2 linked regions of the Lepisosteus oculatus genome follow. Each later gene encodes a partner of the first gene's protein in a complex. Links are inferred from orthologs where the notes say so. Each region holds a gene or a part of one and is shown on either strand. Other genes may lie near its edges. The genes, in order: per2 and cry2.

Region 1 (10,146 bases):
GACTGGGTGTCCCCTCATGACAACCCACTTGTGACCCCTTCAGAAAAGGTGCACAATTTTAAAACAAAAACCCGCTTTTTTATTCAGATTCTGGCTCATTTTCCATTTTGAGTAGGTTTTCTAGCCCATCCTCCGTAGTTCCCAATTGTAGGACTCAACAATTTCTGTACATAAGTGTCTGTGGTACATTTATAATAATAACAATAATAACAATAATAGCTTACACTTATATATCACTTTTCTGGACACTCCACTCAAAATGCTTTACAGGTAATGGGGACTCCCCTCCACCACCACCAATGTGCAGCCCCACCTGCATGATTAAGGTACTATAATAGGCTTAAACTTCTTAGATCTTCAGTCAGTCTCTGTTGCCATCTCCTAAATTTACTCCAAGAGCCAAAGAAGAAAACTGATGGCCCCATCCTTACACAAAACGTGCCATAGTCTTAAGCTCTGAATGTGTCTCAAAGATGATCTGTAACGGCGCACTCCTACTGACGGTCACTTTCCCCGCAACCATTTTCCAGTCTATTTCAACACACAACCCAGATGATACATCTATTTATGGCACACGCTCTTTGTAAACCAATCAATATTACTCTTTCCATACAAAACAATAAAAAGTTCTGCTTGAAACAGAATGCAATTTAAATTTTTGCTCTATCACAAGGACAACCAAACACTTTCTTCTGCATTAAAATTCCTTTAAGGTTCTTGGATTTACCTACTTCCCTCTAAGCAAGTCAATTTCCTTCACAAATCAAAAAAAAAAAACACTGGTCCAGTTTCATAGCAATCTCACCTCACCAATGTCCAAACTCTTCAATGAACTAAGTTTAAACTAGCTTGTCTCATACCTTTACTAATTATTGTAGGTTAATAGCAAGAAACAAAAGATACAAACCAAGCATTGTGACTAAAATATGCCATCCTCAAAGAATACATTCAAATTTACAAGTACTGCAATACATTTTTTCTTTGCCATTCCTTCACACAATACCATGATGGGACTCCCAACAGGTGGTTCACACGTTTAATTTTGCTGTTTGTTTTCTTCTGTATGCTTGATGTGTTTACAGTGTGTCAGTGGAAAAGTATAATATCTAAGGTCAGCAAAGTCCAATAATTTTACATTCTAGAACAGGCTAATATGATCTGCATGCAAACCCCTGTTTTTTTAATTCCATTTGTGACTCCAAAAGATCATCTTATGAATTGAGTGAAGATTCTGCTCTTCGTCAGTTTTTCCAGTCAAACCAAACAGTTAGACTCATGAAATGAGCCTTTTCCTATCAAGCTGCCCTTCAGTAACACTTACATCTTCAGCTTTCCCCCCACCAGCAGATACAGGCAGCAGATAAGCTTCAATATGAAGTTCAATACAATCTAAAAACTGAATGCAACATCTATAATAAGTACTTTCCGCATGGTATTGTATTCAAATAATTGAAGATAGTTTAGCCTTGGCTTTTCAATACAAAAAAAAAACTTTCCTTCAAGTAGCAGCAGATCAGGACAGAGTGTGAAGCAGCATTTAAGTCCCTTAAATCTCAACTTGAAGGCTGTGGGTTCAAATCTTGGGTCTACCCCTTGAGCAAGGAGCTTGTCTTAAATTGCTTCAGTAAAATGCTCTGCTATATGAATGTGGACAGATTTGGTCTCATCCATTTAAGCTAATTATAATAATTCCACTTTCCCTTTAAACTAATAAAAATGTAATGAAGTTTGATTAAACCGAGAACTGCATTTGATCTTGTGCTACTACAACATGTGGAGGACTTCAACTTGTCTTATATTATATGAATTATTTATAAAAGCATGATTGAAAATTAAGGGCAGATATAAAACCCCTCTCATTTGATATGCAAATTAAAAGCCACCCAAGTATACAATCCACAGTATACTAAAACTGGACATTCATCAACAAACGACCTACACGAAACATGTTCATATCATTTTTATTTCTGATATTAATCACATTTCTACCTGGATATACAACCTTAAATGAATATGAAGATTCAACTTGTTTTGCAATCACAATAAATTATACATGTTTAAAAGGAGAAAATACAAACGTACCCTTTTCACTTTACCAAGATCGGGTAAACTGTAATGAACTTTGTAAAACTAGCTAGATAGAACCAGCTGTACTCAATATGCTTCAGCAGTTCTCCTTTATCATGCAATTAGGGTTCAAAGATTTATTTGCCTGGCACAGAGGCTGTTCAGAAAATTATAGATAAGGAGGGTTTTAAAACCTGATAGAAAATGAAGATTGATTTCAAGGTTGGGAAATCATTTCATTTCGAGTTTCATTATTCCCAGATAATAAACTTAAACCTTTTTTGTAATTCTGACAATTGATCATCTAAATCCATAGATGTACAGTAGTATCCACAGGTAGCCCACACACCCACAAAAATGTTACATCAATAAAGAAATATGGAAATATGCTGTAACACAACCAAACCATCTCAAAAACAATGAACATAATGTTTAAAATTCCTTACAACTCAGATATCCATGCAACAGGTCTGACTGGCAACTCAGCATACTGTATACAATATAGAGGCACAGCTCAGTAAAGCCAGCTTAAGGTATTTAGGGCATATAATGTAGGAGAAACTATCATGCTGTATGTCTAATAACCTGTTTTCAGTGGGACAATGGGCTGTAGGGATATCGCATGAAGCAGACCAATGCAGCTAACCCTTAACAATCTCTTAAAACCGGCATATTCAATAAACGGACTAATAAATATTAAGGAGTGTATATTTGTGTCATCTAACATGTCGAGACAAACAAGGGTGAAAACGGAACGAAAGCAGAATATATCGCAAACAAAAAACTGCGAAATCTCTGTCAGTTGATTTGGAATGGTTGCACATTCAGGATTACACAGCTTTGTTGAATTACACCCACGCATAAGGCATTAGTTCGCTTTCCATTTGAAAATTAGGAAGAAAAAAAAAAGATTTTCTCCCTATCACGCGTCTAGTCAGCAACTGGCTACACTAGCCTACATCCTCCTGTCGCAACTGACCCAGATAGCGCCACCAAAAACTTGCTCTTAAATACCCCAACCCTTACAGAGAGCACACTGCACAGGTATACCCCAGACGAGTCATTTCACACACCAAACTATATATTACTGTATCAGTCGAATGAGCGAATTAACTTGTTAACAGGGGTATTCGTTCTAATCGGAAATGCAATAATGGTAGAAACGATGTCGTCATTTTAAGTGCAAGAATAACACTATATTACAATCAAAATACTTTTTATTTACAGCCTATGAGCCTCCATGGGTCACGAAAATATATCACTTCAAACGAATACAAGTATACTGGTCGCCACACTGGAGTGGACCTAATATCCTGGCTATGATAGTAAACCGGCTTGATATGATACCGAGTGAAGCTCTGAAAGCATCTTTTTCCAGCTCCATGTTAGTTTTCCCCCTTTCAATCTTTAATATATATGACCCATCATTAAGAAATAAGATGTGATAATAAATACTTGCCTTCTTCACTTAAAAACGACAAGCTCACGACCGGCAGGGTCTGCACTGACTGTAGCAAAGTTGCACGGCTGGTAACTGGATCAGCGAGGTCAAACCCGAGAGACAGGACTGCAGATAAACTCTCTGAGCGCCTGCAGCTCTGTCAGCCTCCGCGATGAGGCAACTTACTCGCGTCCCCCAGCTCTTTCCGTGCAGGAAAATGAACCAACACGACTATGTACAGTAGGCAGGGCAGGTGCTGTCAAGCAAGTGCTACTCCAGTGACCCACCGCAATCCCAGAGGAGGAAAAAAACGTTGACCCACCGGTGGTACGCTTACATAACAGACCCCCTATTTAAAATAAAAAAAATTAAGTCGCTAAATAAATCAGCGCGGCGAACAATTCTCATCTGAGAGAATGCAATACATGCAATAACAGACTGGGAAGAGCAGGCAAACTTTAGAGCACCGAATCACTCTTCATTTCATTCAAGCTAACAGAATCTCCAATCCAAAAGCGTGTCACCCATTCCCTAGTGTTACACAACCAGCTAGCGGGCGGTCTAGCACAGTAACACGGATAACTCTTCAGCCGCAAGAGCACATAAGCAAAGACAAACCTTGCGCGTAAAAAAAACGGGGCTCAGCTCGTTGCTCTCGTTGCTCTCCTGTGTTTGGTTTTACGGCAGGTAGCCTCCCGTTTGTGTCCTCAGGAACATTTGCTGCGCTCCAGTTTCTGAGTCTCGCTCGGCTCCACAGCTGCCCCGAAAACCTGGAGTGGCAAACGTGACCTCAATACGGGCTCCGCCCCGGCTCGGCGCCCATTGGCTCCCAGCCCCGGGTTTCCATGGCAAATAGTAGGCGATGAAGTCAGAGGACGCCAATTGGCTCGACGCGCCGCCAATCTATTTATGTAAGGCTGTCATAAGACTCACATGGAAAACCATGTTTGCAGGCAATGTGGGCGATTTCGTAGTAGTGTAAGCCCTGTGCTAACTGAATGAACGCTGCTGCTGGAAGGAGAGGGTTTGGTATTGGATGGTGAAATTTCGTTGATTGTTATCTAAACTATTATACAACTATTTTTTTGTGTGTGTGTTTCGCTGGCATTCCCTTTACTAAACACGTAATAGTCTGGGGGTGAACCTTTCTAAACTGCCCTGTGGTGCAGTTTTTTCCAAGAGGGCACGCATGCAGAATTATGTAAGTGATTACGGCATTTGTCAACTTGCACGTCTGGATGATGTTGCGTAGAGACATTTGTCGGCTGGCACTTACCTTTTTAATGTTATGAAATAGCGTGGTGGAGACACTATGAAATTCATGCATACAGCAGTACAACAGACTTCTGATCAATCAGTGTTTATTTATCAGATGCACAACAACCAATAACCATTTTCTTTCCTTACCAGATAAATGAATTTGTTTGAATAAAGTTTAAGCATGTATAAAAAGAAGGTCTACACAATGCAGTTCCTTCACAAATCGTTGATAATTGTATAATAATTCTATGGATTACTCGTGCAGATACTCCGTTTGTTTTGTTTGTTTTTTGGTTCTGGGATTGTGTGGTTGTTGCAGATACCGCACCTATGGTATGTGTCCATGCGATTTTGGGGTTTGTTTTGTTGTCAGTCCTGGTGACTGTTGTGTAACGCCAGCGACACCTGCTCCGTGGTCTCATGCTGTCCGTGTGGACGCGGTTTCTTCACGAAACCCGGTTCGGGTTCTGAGGTAACAGGAAGGAACGCGTGCACGTGCTGAAATTCAGTGTGTTCCACTGATATAATTCTGCATCGGGGCTTAAATGGCGAAACCATCCCACATTTTTGCTAAATATCTTCTGGGGATGAGGCATTGTCCTGTACTGTATATAAAATATACATTTACATTATTAGATAGAGGTTGTTGCGTCGAGGGACGAAAACCGTTACTATAAGACTTCTATTAATCCCACGTTAAATAGCTTTTTATGATGAAACAGGGCTACTGCCGTATATCATTTTTGGACCAGATCAGTCATGAGTGAAAGCGCTACGCTGTGTTGACAGGGATGCTGTTTTAATTGAATCATTACACAATCACAAAGATCTATGTTTTCCCATTACATAAGGCGACACTGCGGGCCACATTGTGATATGGAGCTACATTTTTATTAAAACACCTGCAAATCAGACGGTATTTTTGAGGCACGGCTTATCTCAGCACTTTTCACGTGGATTGTGCTAGTCTTTCTCTTTTATACGATTCGCTATTCGATAAAAGCGTTAGAACCGCCAAAGCGGCAGAATAAAATGTATTAAGTTCTAAGCAGAAAACAGAAAAGTCGTTTACTACATTTAGAATATTGTCATTTAACTACTGCTAAGAGGAAAACGTCCTCCTATGTGCTTTAGTCTAGAAAGTAGTACAGCAGAGTTAGTAGAGCAGTAGTACCCCTTTTGGGTGGGGCATGTGTAATTTTTATAACATTTTATAAGTGCTTTAGTGTCATGGGGGAGCCAGAACCTATTCTGGCAAAGCCATGGACACAAAGCAGGATACACTCTGGATGGGGAACCAGTCCAATTGCAGGGCACAGGAAGTTACCATATGACTCTGGACTGTGGAAGAAAACCAGGGCACCCAGATGAAACCCACACATACATGGGGAGAACATACAAACTCCATCCACACAGCATCCCAGGACCTGAACCCAGGGCCCCAGCGCTACAAGGCAGGAACGCTAACAGCTGAGCCACCATACTGCCCCATAATGTTATATATCCCTTAAAATTCAGATTCTACACTTCAGTGTACAGTTCTTACATTTCAGTGAAAGTATCCTTCTGTAATGTGCGGTAACATCTTTTATGTATTTTTAAATGATTGTCTTTTGAGGCCCAGTGTGTGGGACAGGAGTGGGTCATGTTCATGTGTTTATTACCACAATGGCAAAAACATTTTTGTTACAGGCTTGCACTCAAGGAGCACCAACATTTCAATTCAAAATACTTTATTCATCCTCACAGGAGCAATTTAAGTGCAAAGTTTTTTAATGCCCTAGTTGTACTGACTATTTTTCTCTACTATAATTATTGTAAAAACTGCAGTTATATAGTGTGGGCCAGTTATGAAAAATAACATCCCTAAAATTTTAAAACAATGTGACAGTTGTTAGATTTGACTTCTTTTTACACTGTGGATGTCCAGACAGTGTCAAAGAAGGATGTAGTGAACATGGGTCTGAGAATCCATCTAGGTTGCAAGCATGTTACACTCACTACTGAAATGTCAGTCCCTCTCACAAGCCTCTTGCTGGATACCTAGGTAACGTGTGGGCGGTTATAATCCACCACCAAATCAGGTATAGAAGTGAGAAATTACTTCACCGATTGAATTGAGAAGACTGGACTTTGGCCAGGGCACCGAGAGAACAACTCTTTCTGACAGTGCTGTCAGGTCTTGACTGGGCAAGCAATCAGGATCACAGGTTAGAGGCACATCCGAAGGAAGGAACCTCTTGCAGTCCAACGGTCCTTGTTTCCATATTTGAGGAACAGATTGGAATTCCCAGCGTAAGGGTAAGAGTGACCCCTAATGGTCCACCCAATAAATATACTTGTGCATCAGCTTGAAATTCCTATGCTGTGAACATTTCACAAGCTCCCTGTCAGAGGACTTTAACCTGCTAATTTATAAGGCACTGAACAGTCTAGCTCCAGATTATCCTAAGGAGATAGTTTATACATGGGTTCATACTTCATGCATGAATGTAGTCCAATTCCCATTCTTAGTCACTACCAAAGCCCAATTTCCTCATAATCAGGCAACAGATCTTTTTGTGTATAACACCATATCCACAACTATTTGTTTTCCTCAAGCCCAGTTACTATTGATTTTGTTTTTTTAGCATCAGGTTTTGAGTGTTTGAGTTTTACTGTGCTCTCTTTCTCAGTTGTTTACTTCTGTTACATGTATTTTATTTTTGCGTTATATTACAGTACATTTGTTTTGTGATATTTGCTTGCACATCAAATTGTATTCAAATTGAAACAACTGCATTCGCTTTAACATGTGGGCACAGTACCAATAAACTCTATAAATGTTTAAATCTACCATGCAACAAGATATAAAGTATGCACTGTAAGAATTGTCACTGTTGCAACAATCAAAATAAAAGTTTTTATCAAAGAAAATTGAACCGTGCATTTTCCAGGAGGAAAATTAAGGAATTGGGAGCGACCTTAAGATGACTTCCAGAATTGGCACATACACTGTATCATTGGTTAACACAAGGAAATGCTGGAGAGACAAATGACGTAAAACTTCCATTTGCTAAAAAAAAATCTTGGCAAGTATTCCACTAGAAAGGAATGTCTCTGGGTACTTGGGCTTACACATAAAAAATGTTTTAAAGTAACAGCAGGATGTCTGGTGGAAAAGTCTTACTCTGACTAAGAATTAAATTATTTTAGTGATACAGCCTGAGACAGTTAATCCTTTAAAACATAATTCATCATAAAGGAGGTTTTGTTCCATGAAACCTTACAGTACAGTAGGTATATTCTTAATACCTGATATACCTGAATTAACATTATAAGCCCAACTTCACCACAGATTGGAAAAGTAAACTAAAACAGCTGTACATTTTGGAAAGTTTCATTCATGCCCTTTTCCGAATTTATGCCTCAGTAGGTTTCAGTCGTATGGAAACATTCGTAAGAATCACTGGAGAATTACCTTGGAAAAATTCAAAGTGAAATCCTTTTGAACCTTTGATGAAGTTGTAAGTGATCTATGCAGGTGCTATTTGGATTACTTCTTTGATATGGACACAGTGGTTAATTCTTACAAAAGATAAATATAGTGAATGTCATTTCCATACGAGCTATGGCAGAAATACCAGTGTACAGTCCAAACATTAATTGCACCATTGAAATTTCAACAGCTGAACAATTTAAATAAACTTTTAAGTATTTTGACATTACACTTTACAAGTTACATTACTAAGACGACATGTGAATATACAGTAAATAAAAAGAGTACTGAAGAAGCATTTTTATAGCACGGAAAAAAATCCATATTCACAAAACTGTTTTTATTACTATCTTCTAAGGTTACATGAATATCTAATAAAGAGCTGAATGTTGTTTGTGTTAAAGAGAGTTGGAACACATAATTGCTAGCTAAAGGAAGCTTTTTAAAATGTCTTGCTAATATTATTTTATTGTAAGTGTTTTTATCACAAGCACCAAATTTGCTTGGACCAGAAATTTAAGAAAAATGCCAGGAACTAGAGATATGTTAGCTCAGGATATAGAGGTTGTGTTGTGAGGATTGTAGATAGAGCTGAGGAGGTACAGTGAACTGTTTAAAAGATGCCTTCCCTAATTTCTACCATGAAATGAATCACTGCTCACTTTTTTCAACACCATCTCTGACTGGTTGGGGAGAAGTGATCTTATCCAAGCCTGTGTGACATCTCTACCTTTTTCAGCAAATACTCCTTCCAGACAGTAAAGATTAGAGGTTGTCTAAATCATCTTGGAGAACACTCAATGATTTCCTGTCTAGTGGCCAATACGTCTTCAGATGTTTTCCCTTTGGCATCTGGCAGAGGGAATGGCTGATGCTTGAGGTTTATTGTCAGTACGGTGTTCAACATGGGGAAGTAGAATTGAGGAATGGCTCCATTTATGAATGAACTAGTGAACATCCCCCTGAAGTCAGTCTGGACTGCTGTTGTTACGTTTCAGTGCCATAGGATTCCAGTATCACATCCCCCTGACTAAGCATGACTTTGCCTAATCTCAACCTCGCAAAAAAGATCAGCATCTTCCTCCACCACCAAAAGCCAAGCTCTCGGTTGGATCCACACTATCATTATGGACCAGAGAAGAATTACTGCTTACTTAAAACAAGGATCTAAAATTAATGAAATGGAGCTTGATTAAACAATAAAAATAGTAGACTTACTGCAAATGGGTATAAATGACAAGTATTTCAGACTTCTTCATTAAACTACCAAGGTATTATTTTATAGATTGTTATAGACCCAATGTTAAAAGGAAGGTAAAGTGGCTTGTAACTACAGGTAGCTAATGAATGTAACTAATGAATATAAATTAATGAAGTAAAGCCTTCCTTTGTTCATGTGAAGGTTCCTTTGTGCACAGATGCAAAGGCTTAGTTTGTAAAATGAGGATTAGAATGAACATTGTTAAATGTGCCGTTCGAAGACAACAGCTTTTATTTACCGATCTTCATATTTGTTGCCATCCTAATGCTGCACCCCTGCCACCTTTTGCTACTCAGAAATAAACAGCTGTTTCTTGTTTAGTTCATCTAGCTGCCCTTAAATTGTGGCGTTTAGATTTATTAAACAAAGGACAAAGAAGGCAACTGATTGAAGAACAAGAGGAAAATCATCTTAACAGATTTATTTATCTTAGCATTGAGGATTGTGGGTAGCAGAGGGAAAACATTTAGTAATTTCAGATTCAGATCAGTAACTGCAGATATACAGATGGAATTTAAAATCCAAAATGAATATTTCTGCAGTTTTAGGAAAAATATTAATATGAGTCAATCAAGAAAAAAAAATGTTAAGAAATACATTTATACCTTTTATAGTTCTAGTAAACACAATTGGCAGAAT
Region 2 (10,172 bases), on another chromosome or scaffold:
TAGATGTTGAGGATGAACCCATGCTAGATTCCACAAGCAATCTTTAGCTAGGTTTATAGAAGACTAATTCCATCCCAATGTTAGATGCAGAACAAATGCTGTACAAAAAGAAAAATACCTGTTATTCCTATCATGTTCTGCAGACACAAGACACAAGAATACAAAATATTTACTGTAATTCAAAAGTATTCCCTATAATTATTTTCTTAATTTCCCCTTACTATTTGTAACAAGCTCCACTGTAGTTTTCTCTATTCTCCTTTTAAAATGCATTTAGTAAAAATCATAAACTTCCAGAAGACATCTATACAAGTCATCATTTTTTCCTATTTCACAAGTACCCAGTATTTCAATTAAATTTGAATTTGCATGGCACGTTCTTTACTTAACAAGAAATACTTCTTTTCATGGTCTGAAGTATTTCTACTGAGAGAAAGAAACAAAACATGGGATAAAAAAAGAAAAAAAGCTCACAATTATTTCTGACAAAAGAATTCTGAGATAAATGGGGTGCATGGAACTAATGAACAGCAGAAAAAGATCAGATCCACCCCCTCAGCTTATGCAACTCCATCTATATCGGTAACCAGTTAACCACTCCCATTCTGTCATTTCCTGCCAGAATGCCCTGTCTCAGGCGGCTTACATGTGCCTAGTGCTGCATGGCTGCACGCTCCTGAAGGCACATGTTTGCAATGGTGACTGTAGAGCACAGCTATTCCACCACCCACTGTCTGCACATGTTGGGTAGTGTGCCTGATAATTAGTGCAGCGCACCACTAGGTGGTAGCATCGCCTCCATTAGACACAAATACAAAGGACTGGAATAGAAACTATGTGCAGCTGAAGACATCATATAAAAAAATAACATCTCACATATACAGGTTACATGACACATGCTGTCTACTTTAATCAATTATATTTACAGAGAAGGGTGAAAGGCTCTCGTGATTTCACATACTTTCAGTAAGAACAAACAACAGTTTCATACTTGGATTTTTACTAGGTTCAAAACCAGCCTTTCAATTCTCTCACAAAACCAGTCAATTGCTGTTTATACTAGGAATTCCATCTTTTATACAGATATCTATCTTTCCTGGGTGGTATTCCTAATAACCTTCTACAAGTATACACACTGACACAGGTTACAAAAGACTTCATAATCACTCTGGTTTTACTAGTTGGAGAAACAATTCCAGAAAAAAAACATTAATTGCTTTTCATGATGATTACAGTTTCTGCAGCAGCATGTTCACAGCTGCAGGTGAAAATATTTGAAGGAATCTAATTACTTCAGAAACCACTAAAGCCCCTTTGCATGGTCACAAAGTGTCAATAACCTATTTTCAGCATTTAGTTAATTTTAACTTGTCAGAGACCAAATTAATCTTTTTTACTAACTTTTGTCTGAACTGTACATACATATAGCTTGATGCAAAATTGTTTTTTGCCCCAACAGAAACAAAGCAAAACCACATATTAAGCAATTCATTTCATTATTTAAATCAAATGGCTGCATTTGTACACTAACACAACAATTTTCTTGAGAAATAAAATACGAAACTGCTACTTTCAGCATTGCCTCACCTGTCTAAACTGTACAGCGTATGGGATTCTTGTACAATTGTTTCCACTCCTGACTCCCGTGCCAGCTTCATGATCGCAGCATCTCTCTCTTTCCCAAACGGCTCCGAGTCGTATTCAAAAGTCAGGTGTGTTACATTCCATTCCTGCAGGGCAAAAAGGAAAATAAACAGGTCAGACATTTTTGGTATTCTGAAACAAAATCCGATTAAGAGTGGTTTAAGTAATTTTTCATCATTCATAAACTATAAACATGCTTGAGCTATTTTTGCTATGTGAAGGGCATTAAAAGAGCTATTCATTTGGCCTGTGCTAACCTGAAAGAGGTTCGTAAGAGAACTCCTTCCTAATCAAACAATTCCTCTTCACAACATAAGATTTTACTCATATGTAACAAATGCTATGAAGAAATATTTTGCAGTCTGTACTAAAAAAATGTCCATTGTTTACCCAATGGACTCAAAGAAGGCTTCACAGCTGAAATGTTGAGTTTCTTTTCTTCTCTTTTCAGCATGGAATGAATCTTTACTGTTTTTCCTATACACAAGCACCAGAAATTCCTGAAAGGGAAAATACTGTGACTTTTAACACAAGAGTGAGACATCTCATAATGATGGAGAAAAACAGATAAAAGCACATAATAGTTCTGCTCCTTCATAATGCATAGCTAAAAGCTTTTTCAAAATCAGTCTTATAAATCATGCCAAAAAAGCTATCGTTTAATTAGGAATGACTCAACAGTGAAATTGCCATTTAAATCTAAAACTAGAAAGCCTTAATTGTATGATTAAATCTAGAAATTTTCTTAAGTATTTAAATATATTGCTAAAATGAATCTTCTTTGAAGCAATTTTCAAAAACAGAACCTAAGCAAAACACTTTCATGAGTTCATTTCCCTAGCAGAAGCAGCAGAAAATGTTACTAGCCTCTTCAAACAGACATGTGCTGAGGATATTGATTTCATGACAAGGAACTTCAATAACTTCACACATTAGGCTTGATCTTGATGAAAGTGAAATGTGAAGAGTGGATACTGTCACAAAAGATTATATCATATCACATTTTCTTGAGATATTGAAATATCACTAAGAACTCCATGTCCCTCATGATGAAGATCATTCTCAAAGAAATTGTGAGCAAATTTTGATGAATATCGAGCTTTATCTTATTAAAAAAAGGACAGAGTCAATAGATGCTGAAAAGGAACTCTTTATTTCCCCATTAACGTGAACATTTCCCATTAAATATAGTAAAAGAATACTCTGCATGCCGTCACAGACCAACAGCAACACTCTTCAAATTAAGCTAATTAAAAATGAACTCCTAATGACCTCGGTGACTCCAGTTAGTAGTAAAGATCCAAACCCAGATGAAAAAAACACTTATTCACATTTTAGAACAGTCTTCACGAAAGACATTTACAGAACAATAAAACTACTTACAAAGATTATTTAGGAATCTCCATGATGAACGATGCATTGTAATACATTAAAGAAAATCAAAAAATACTACTAAACAGAATATTAAGTACATATTATTTCAGTTGAATTCCTTGAAATTTACCCTACTTCTTAAGAGCAAAATAAATGATGCATGCAGGAATAGTAGTTAGGAATCTAGCTCTCAATTGGAAGGTTGTGAGTTCAAATCCCAGATGTGTACTGCTCTACCCTTGAGAAATACCCTTCATTCGGACTGCTGCAGTAAAACTACCATAATGTAAATCGACAATAGTTACAGTAGACAGATTTCAATGTGTGCAAAAGTTCAATGAGCACAGTCAGCAGATAAAAATGGAACGAATGTCAATATCATGAGAGAGACAGAACGACAGAGCTTACCTTGAATAATCTGGGAAACACATCTGCTGGCTGCCCTCGCACAACAAACAGTCGGGAATTCAGTTTTCTCAGGCTGGCGTCCAGATCCTCTAATGATTCAAGGAGGAATCTAAATGAGAGAATAAAGTTAGCCTAAACTGTCGAGTAAAAAGGATCTTTAAAACCCTTGAGATAACTAGCAAATTGTCTACTTTGCAAAATAATTCAGTCACATTTCACATGACCACTGCCATCCTTTAGCTTTCCTGCTCCTCAGTGGTTTCCAACCCTGGTCTTGGGAAAACCCCATCTCATCAAGTTTTTGGACAACAGGGTTCTCAGGCACTGAGGGTAACTAATCCATTTAGCTGAACTTGTTCCCAGATCTCTGTAATCGATTCCTGCTGTGGTTCTGCTGTTGTTTTGAGTCTTTTTTCAGACATTGAGACATTTCTCCATCCATTCTCTTCACAACATAATTATTAGGTGGTCAGGAGGGACTGCAATAGTTTATATCCCTAAATTATTTCTCTGGATTCAGAAATGAAATGACAGCATTATCAACTTGCAAGAGGTTTACTGGGACGGCATTCTCAATATAAAATCCTAACTGATTTGTATTCAAACCCGTCAAATTATTTACAAATATCTGAAAACTAAACAAGACTAGTTACTATAGTACAAAATGAAGATCTTAAAAGGTAACACTGATCACGAAAATTGCAAGTCACTGCATAACTTTGCGTGATAAAGGCAGTGGGTTATCCTAATCAGGACGCAAACACATGTAACCATTCCTACTTGCAATGTACATTGTTGCCAAGACAAATGGAAACGAAGTTTCATTTTGGCAAAAGGTTCACCTAAATGCAAGAGCAGTCATATGGCCTTACAGTGATGTAATAATATTCGCCATGCAGTGACCTCTGGAAGTGGACAGAAAAAGACACGGACACCCCGTATGCCTCTGCTCTGTGATACTGCACAAACCACGTTCATGTGTTTCCAACACGAGCAGTGACGACTCTGGCGTGACACACAAATGTTTAGAAAACTAAGCTGATTCAAACTAGAACGCCATTAACGCACTGAATGGGACACACGATGCAATCACGTAGCATAAAAGACAAACCTCCATCTGTTGATTCCTACATTAGCCGATGCAGCAAACCAGGGATCCAAAATGTAAACACATCGCACTGTGTCCGAAATATTCAAAGCTTCCTGTAAAGCCGGATTATCATGGAGCCTCAGCCCTTTGCGGAACCAGTGCACGGAATTCACCACCATGATGTCGATTTGCAAACCTTAAGAAAACACCAGTCACAATCTTTAACCAGAATTCCGTCGAAAAGAGTCCATATTAAGCTTGAAAAGTGATTTCAACTGCCAAGCTGTTCCACCTCCACAAGTTTGCGCACAGTCAATGTTGCTGAACTGGAGCCTTTCCCTCCGAGTGCAACGCCTATTGGCTTACAGGTGACACGTGTTCAGACTATTACAACAAGTTTCCGCCCAGTTCCTAATCGATTGGTTGTTGATCACATGTAGGACACGCCCCGTCACGTTTCTCTGGTGTGTTGTTGGAATTAACCTGGGATCGGAAATAAAGTAGGGAAAAAATGCTGGAAGAATCGTCTCATCACGGACAGTACATTACGTTGTCTGGCAGTTACGTGACTTACCCTAGCGCTCTTATATAAGGCGGGTTTTCTTACGACAGTGAAATATGATGTGCGTATTGTGTGTTGTGAAGTACAAAATCGTAAAAACACTCGGGTTTTGTTTTTATTTCAAATTAAAAAATAAAATAGGCTGATTGATACAGACGACTATTTATCCTGTTTTACATACCGTAAATGTGCTCTAGCGAGCGGTCAAACCTAATAGGGTACCATTTTATCCAGAAATTTCTAAGCATAGTACTGTATACTTAAACTATGAGTAAGGTCATGGTTTCTTATTTGAAATTCAGCAACTCTACTATGACACCTAGCGATTTTATGTTACAGAAGCAGGCATCGTTTTGTACAAGTTACGACCTAATATGACTTCACAAACCCTATTAAATACAATAAAAACAGGTCTTTTTTTTACTGGGGTCATTCTAATGAACTATTTTCCAGTTATCATAAGGTTGCATCTCTGTACAAAGACTAGTACTTTCTTAATGTTAAACATACAGAGTGTATTTCCCTTGGTAAAATACAGTATAATGTTTTGGGGAAGATACACAAATTAGACTATGGCCCTCAAGTTTTTTTTTTTAAATCAATAACTAAAATCCATCATAATATACAGCAATACTGTGTAAACAATCATTCAAAAGCAGAAAATAACAGACACAATTATAACTGGTTTCTTTGTGGTTTCTATAATTATATACTCTGATTCTATATTCAATATTGACTAATTGAGGATTTGGGAATATGGAGCTTAAAATCAGAGCTGAATATTTTTTTCTGCAGAAATTAATATTATTCTCCTTAAATGATATGATTAAAGTGTAGTTTTGATCTGGACAGCTGCTTTTGCTCAAACTATGTTTATCGTTTTTGTATTTTGCCCATAGCAAAGCAGTCTAGAAAGAGTTCATGTGAGTGAAAGCCCCTTTATAGGATTTTAAAAAAGCATAAATACAGCTTAAAAACTACATGAAGCTCGTGAAACTTATTACTCATTAAAATAATCTTTTGGGATTCTGAATCACTATATACTGTATGCATATGTGCCTGGTGTGTCCAGTGTTACACATTTTAAATATTACTTCAGTGAAGCATGCTGGAAATTAATTTAAAACATACCATCACTAAAATGGGACAATACTTAATTAAACAATTTAGCAAACTACCTTGGAAAGTTTTTTTATCCAGTCCTCAATTTACATACTTGTGTAAGGTCTAGAATACCATCCAAAAAGCTAAGAAATAAATCACACATCTAGCACTGAACTGTGGTGATCCACCTAGCATTTTTCTGCCTTGTCTAATGGTCTTTGAAATAATGTGTGGATATGACATCTTCGATTCTAGAAATGATGTTTCAGATTTAACACTGGTGCCTGTGCACTAAATCATGTCAGATGGGCAGGGTAGCAGTTTAGTCTGTAGTTTGTTAAAGGTGAAACCCATCATCCCCACAATAACACAGGCCAGTGTGAGATGGATTCAGTAAAACACTGGCCACATTAACAGCAAAAGCCTTCAACCCCAATGTCTCATAAAGGAGACTCTGATATTCGGCACTTTGTTGAGATACATTGGGGACCTAATGATGGCAGTGTAAATTAACACATTGAATCGCAGTGATCTCACAAGGGCAGATACCAGGTTTTCCCAGGAGGACTGAAGCCCATCCAGGAAATCCAGGACTACAGGGTTGCCATGTGGTCACCGAGGGGGGAACCAACAGGATCAGGTAGATGAAATGACAGTGCTGCGGTTCCACTAGCCAGGATAGCTGCAGTCACTCTCTCAACACCAGGGAGAACTTCTGTGAACTTGGCTGGGGGTTGGGCTCAGATCGAGGTCCGGGAGCACAGGAGGGAGAAGGCTGCCTGTAGGACTGGCTGGACGTGGGGCTCACCTTCATTTCCAGGGTTGCATCCTACACGTCTCCAACTGCTGAGGCCGTCAGAGAGAGGGCACCCCCATTCCTGCCAGGGATGGAGCCATGGGAGGTGTGAAGGCAGCAGGAACCACCTCCTGTCCAAGAGGGGCCTGGTGACTAAGTAACACACCGAGACCATCTGGCAGCCTCAGACCCACTTACCAGCTTCACCACTGCCTCCATCAAAGCAGCTGTGCACCATGCAGAGGGGCATCTGTGAGTATATATATATACACAAGAGCCAGGAACGTGATATAAGGGGGCTCTGTTGGCAAAGATGATCAATGTCCTAATTATTTTTTTCTTTGTATTATGTTATGATGAAGATTCATTTCAATCACTTGAGTAAAATAATGTACAATACAGCTCGTACTTTTCAAGGTTTGTTTTAGATATTTGATTTATTACTTTGCTTGGACAGAAATATTACACAACTAGTCATTAAAATAAAGAGATATCTTACACACCTCTTAAAATGTTCTTTATTTACAGACTTTTAAAGAAACTTAAAAAATATTTTTTTTCTTTAGCTAAAGTAATTTTACAACTACAAAACAAACAAACAGGTTTAAACAGTTCAGAAATCTTCTTTTTCATCCACAGTTTGATGCCAGGGCTTTTCCTACTTGCAGTCTGAGCATCAGTTGTACAATTCACAATAGAAAAGATCCAAAAAGCACTTTGGAGACTCATCACATGTTTGCTTATATGGCTCCTGGTCTGCACTCTAAATACCTGAGTCATTTTTGGCAGTAGTGCTTTTAGTCTGTGGGTCTTGCTGAAGTTTCTTCATTTCCAGTCCTTTGACCCAGGTATAGGCAAAAGAGCCAGCCAATACCATTAGGTTGCTAGTCCACCACAAAAGGCTCTTGGTATCCTCAGAGTAGATAACAGCCAAGACTGTCTGAGCACAAGCCTTTGCAGTGCCTGACACATTGTGTGTCAATGGACTTGTGAACTTAATCTGAAGGCCAGTGACATAGCCAATAGCAAAGCCGAAGACCCCTCCCAAGGTCATCATACCCCAAAAGTACCAGCTGTCTAATTTGTCGAAGTAGAAGAGTGTTTTAAATTCCCCAAAGACCACAATGAGGGGAATGAACAGGAAGCAGGCGTTGACGTTGTTATAATAGGTTAGTTTCCATATGCTGCCATCCACGACCGGCATCACTTTCTTGGTATAGATGGCGTTGAGTGAAACGCACAGGCTGGCAAGAACTCCAAACATGATTCCTGTCCAGGACAGTGACCCGGCTGCCCCTTCTTGATCCACACCTAACCAAAAGCCTCCTGTGCAGAAACAAGGAGAACAAAAAAAAATTAGGTTATGGGTTACCTTTGCCCTCCACATACAGTTTGCGCTTACAGTTTGAAGCACAGCTATGACTATGACTTGTATAGCCATTAATGTAGAATTGCTACAAGATTTTTAAAAAAAGCTTCCAGTGGTAGATGATGCTCACAACCTAGTTCTTGCACACAAAAGTTCTCCTGTTTAAAAACAACAACAAATATTTAAGCGTTCGAGGAAGATTTATAATCAAGCACCGTTTTACTTTTGTTTGATTTATGTAAAATTAATTGAATTCTATGTCTTTGTTGTCAAATTTACTGGACTTATTTCTTCAGAAATCAATACTATTGGAAAAGCAGGAATCATCCTGCAGAGCTTCAGCCAAGGGATTAATGCTGAACAGTGAGTTTATGATTTTATTAATCAAAAAAGGTTAAGGACAAATGATTTCAAGACCCAAGAGCACATCATTGGTTAAAACAAATTTTTATTAAAATCATTAGTTCAATAACTTTCTAAATGGTAATGACTTTTTCTGTATACCAATATATATTTATAACCGGCAAAATATATAAAGAGTAGATGCAAACATACTTGGACAGTTTTCAGCCTTACTTCAGAGCTGTGCTGGTTGACACAACGTGCTGGATTCACATTGCAAAGTGCTTTATTTAGGAAGTACGGGCATGTCTGCGTGTTAATCACTTATATGAAGCCTTGTTCCAAAGGAAGACAATAAGACTGCCTGCAGAATAATTTACCATTACGGGACACTGTGTGTCTAACGTGACAGCGCGCCTCCAGTAAAAGCAGGTGATAAAATAAAGAACGAAGAAAATAAATAAGAACAGCATACTGTACCTATTATGACTCCACAGCAGAGTAAGGCATAGGAAGACGTGGTTTGCTTGATAATTAAATAGGACATTAACACGTTGAATACAGTGGTCAGCGATCTCCCAACATTGTAGAATGCCACCCCGACATATTTCAAGCACAGGTTGTTGAATGTGATCATTCCGATGAACACAACAGACAAGGGCAGGATCTCTCTGGACATCTTGAGGTCGAGTTTGACAGACGGGAACTCCACAGACGTCGGACACAACCTGGACAGCAGACTCATACACCAGCAAAGCCCCACAGTCACGAAGCATTGGAAAAATGTCACGAACAGAGGGGCGTCCAGTTTTAAGGCAGGGCTGTCCAGAAGGTATTTATTTAGAAAAACCATGGTAATTGATATGAACCAATAAAGAGCAACCACTAAGGCTATTTTAATGGCTTTCATTAAGAAAGAATCCGTTTTTCCTTCTTGGTCCAAAGAATCAGACTGCATAAGGGCCATTTTCAAAATTTTCGAACGCTTCAACTGGGTCCTGTTCATGACAAAACAAAGAAGCACAAAATAAGCGAAACGTTTTACATGTGATGACTGTACGCGGTGCCCACGACCTTTCACACGTACGAGGGCTCTTTTCCTTCCTTGTCAACTTCCTGAGTCCTCCCACCTACCAGCCTCACTGAAAAACCAGGCGTTTCGAGTCCACAACCATGTAGGCGTGGTCGCAAACCTCTGTGAAGATACTTTAGCAAAAAAAAAAAACGTCACTCCACACACGAATCCTTACAACAAAGGCAGAAGAAATTCCAAACCCTGCCCCAACTATTAGCCCCGCAGTACGAAAAACCGGTTATCTTCCTTGTGTTGTGTTTCTTTTTACCACGCCTAATACGGAACAAGTAGGTCCATTTCACGCGAAAATCATATAAGAAACAGCGACACAATGAACGCGTCGGGCCGTGGAACCGAACACTCAAGGAAGATTCCACAGTCGAAACATTGCGTTTTGCAGCACGGAAC

Evidence for each region.
Region 2: the proteins of per2 (region 1) and cry2 are in contact, whole or in part, in a crystal structure (PDB 4U8H), measured with the Mus musculus proteins. The link is inferred for Lepisosteus oculatus from reciprocal best matches to the Homo sapiens genes PER2 and CRY2. Residues at the interface, in NP_035196.2 of Mus musculus: Tyr1132, Leu1134, Gln1135, Asp1136, Pro1137, Trp1139, Leu1140, Met1142, Ala1143, Asn1144, Thr1145, Ile1149, Met1150, Met1151, Thr1152, Tyr1153, Gln1154, Leu1155, Arg1158, Asp1159, Leu1160, Val1163, Leu1164, Asp1167, Gln1168, Lys1170, Leu1171, Leu1174, Gln1175, Ser1177; in NP_034093.1 of Mus musculus: Trp58, Ser63, Ser64, Val65, Lys163, Leu166, Thr167, Lys169, Arg170, Glu215, Leu216, Gly217, Phe218, Asn330, Pro331, Ile332, Cys333, Ile334, Gln335, Ile336, Pro337, Asp339, Asn341, Pro342, Glu343, Leu345, Ala346, Lys347, Ala349, Glu350.

What each region holds. Positions count from the first base shown.
Region 1 is NC_090708.1:8,121,171-8,131,316, reverse strand, and holds the start of per2 (period circadian protein homolog 2), read right to left. Parts: upstream 4,303-10,146; 5' UTR 4,127-4,302; intron 3,770-4,126; exon of another isoform or gene 3,527-3,769; intron 1-3,526. UniProt on the Homo sapiens protein: Transcriptional repressor which forms a core component of the circadian clock.
Region 2 is NC_090716.1:6,340,790-6,350,961, reverse strand, and holds the start of cry2 (cryptochrome-2), read right to left. Parts: upstream 4,877-10,172; 5' UTR 4,696-4,876; coding exon 4,538-4,695; intron 3,536-4,537; coding exon 3,427-3,535; intron 1,731-3,426; coding exon 1,588-1,730; intron 1-1,587. Other genes in the region: slc35c1 (GDP-fucose transporter 1), read right to left, coding at 7,742-8,304, 9,170-9,695. UniProt on the Homo sapiens protein: Transcriptional repressor which forms a core component of the circadian clock.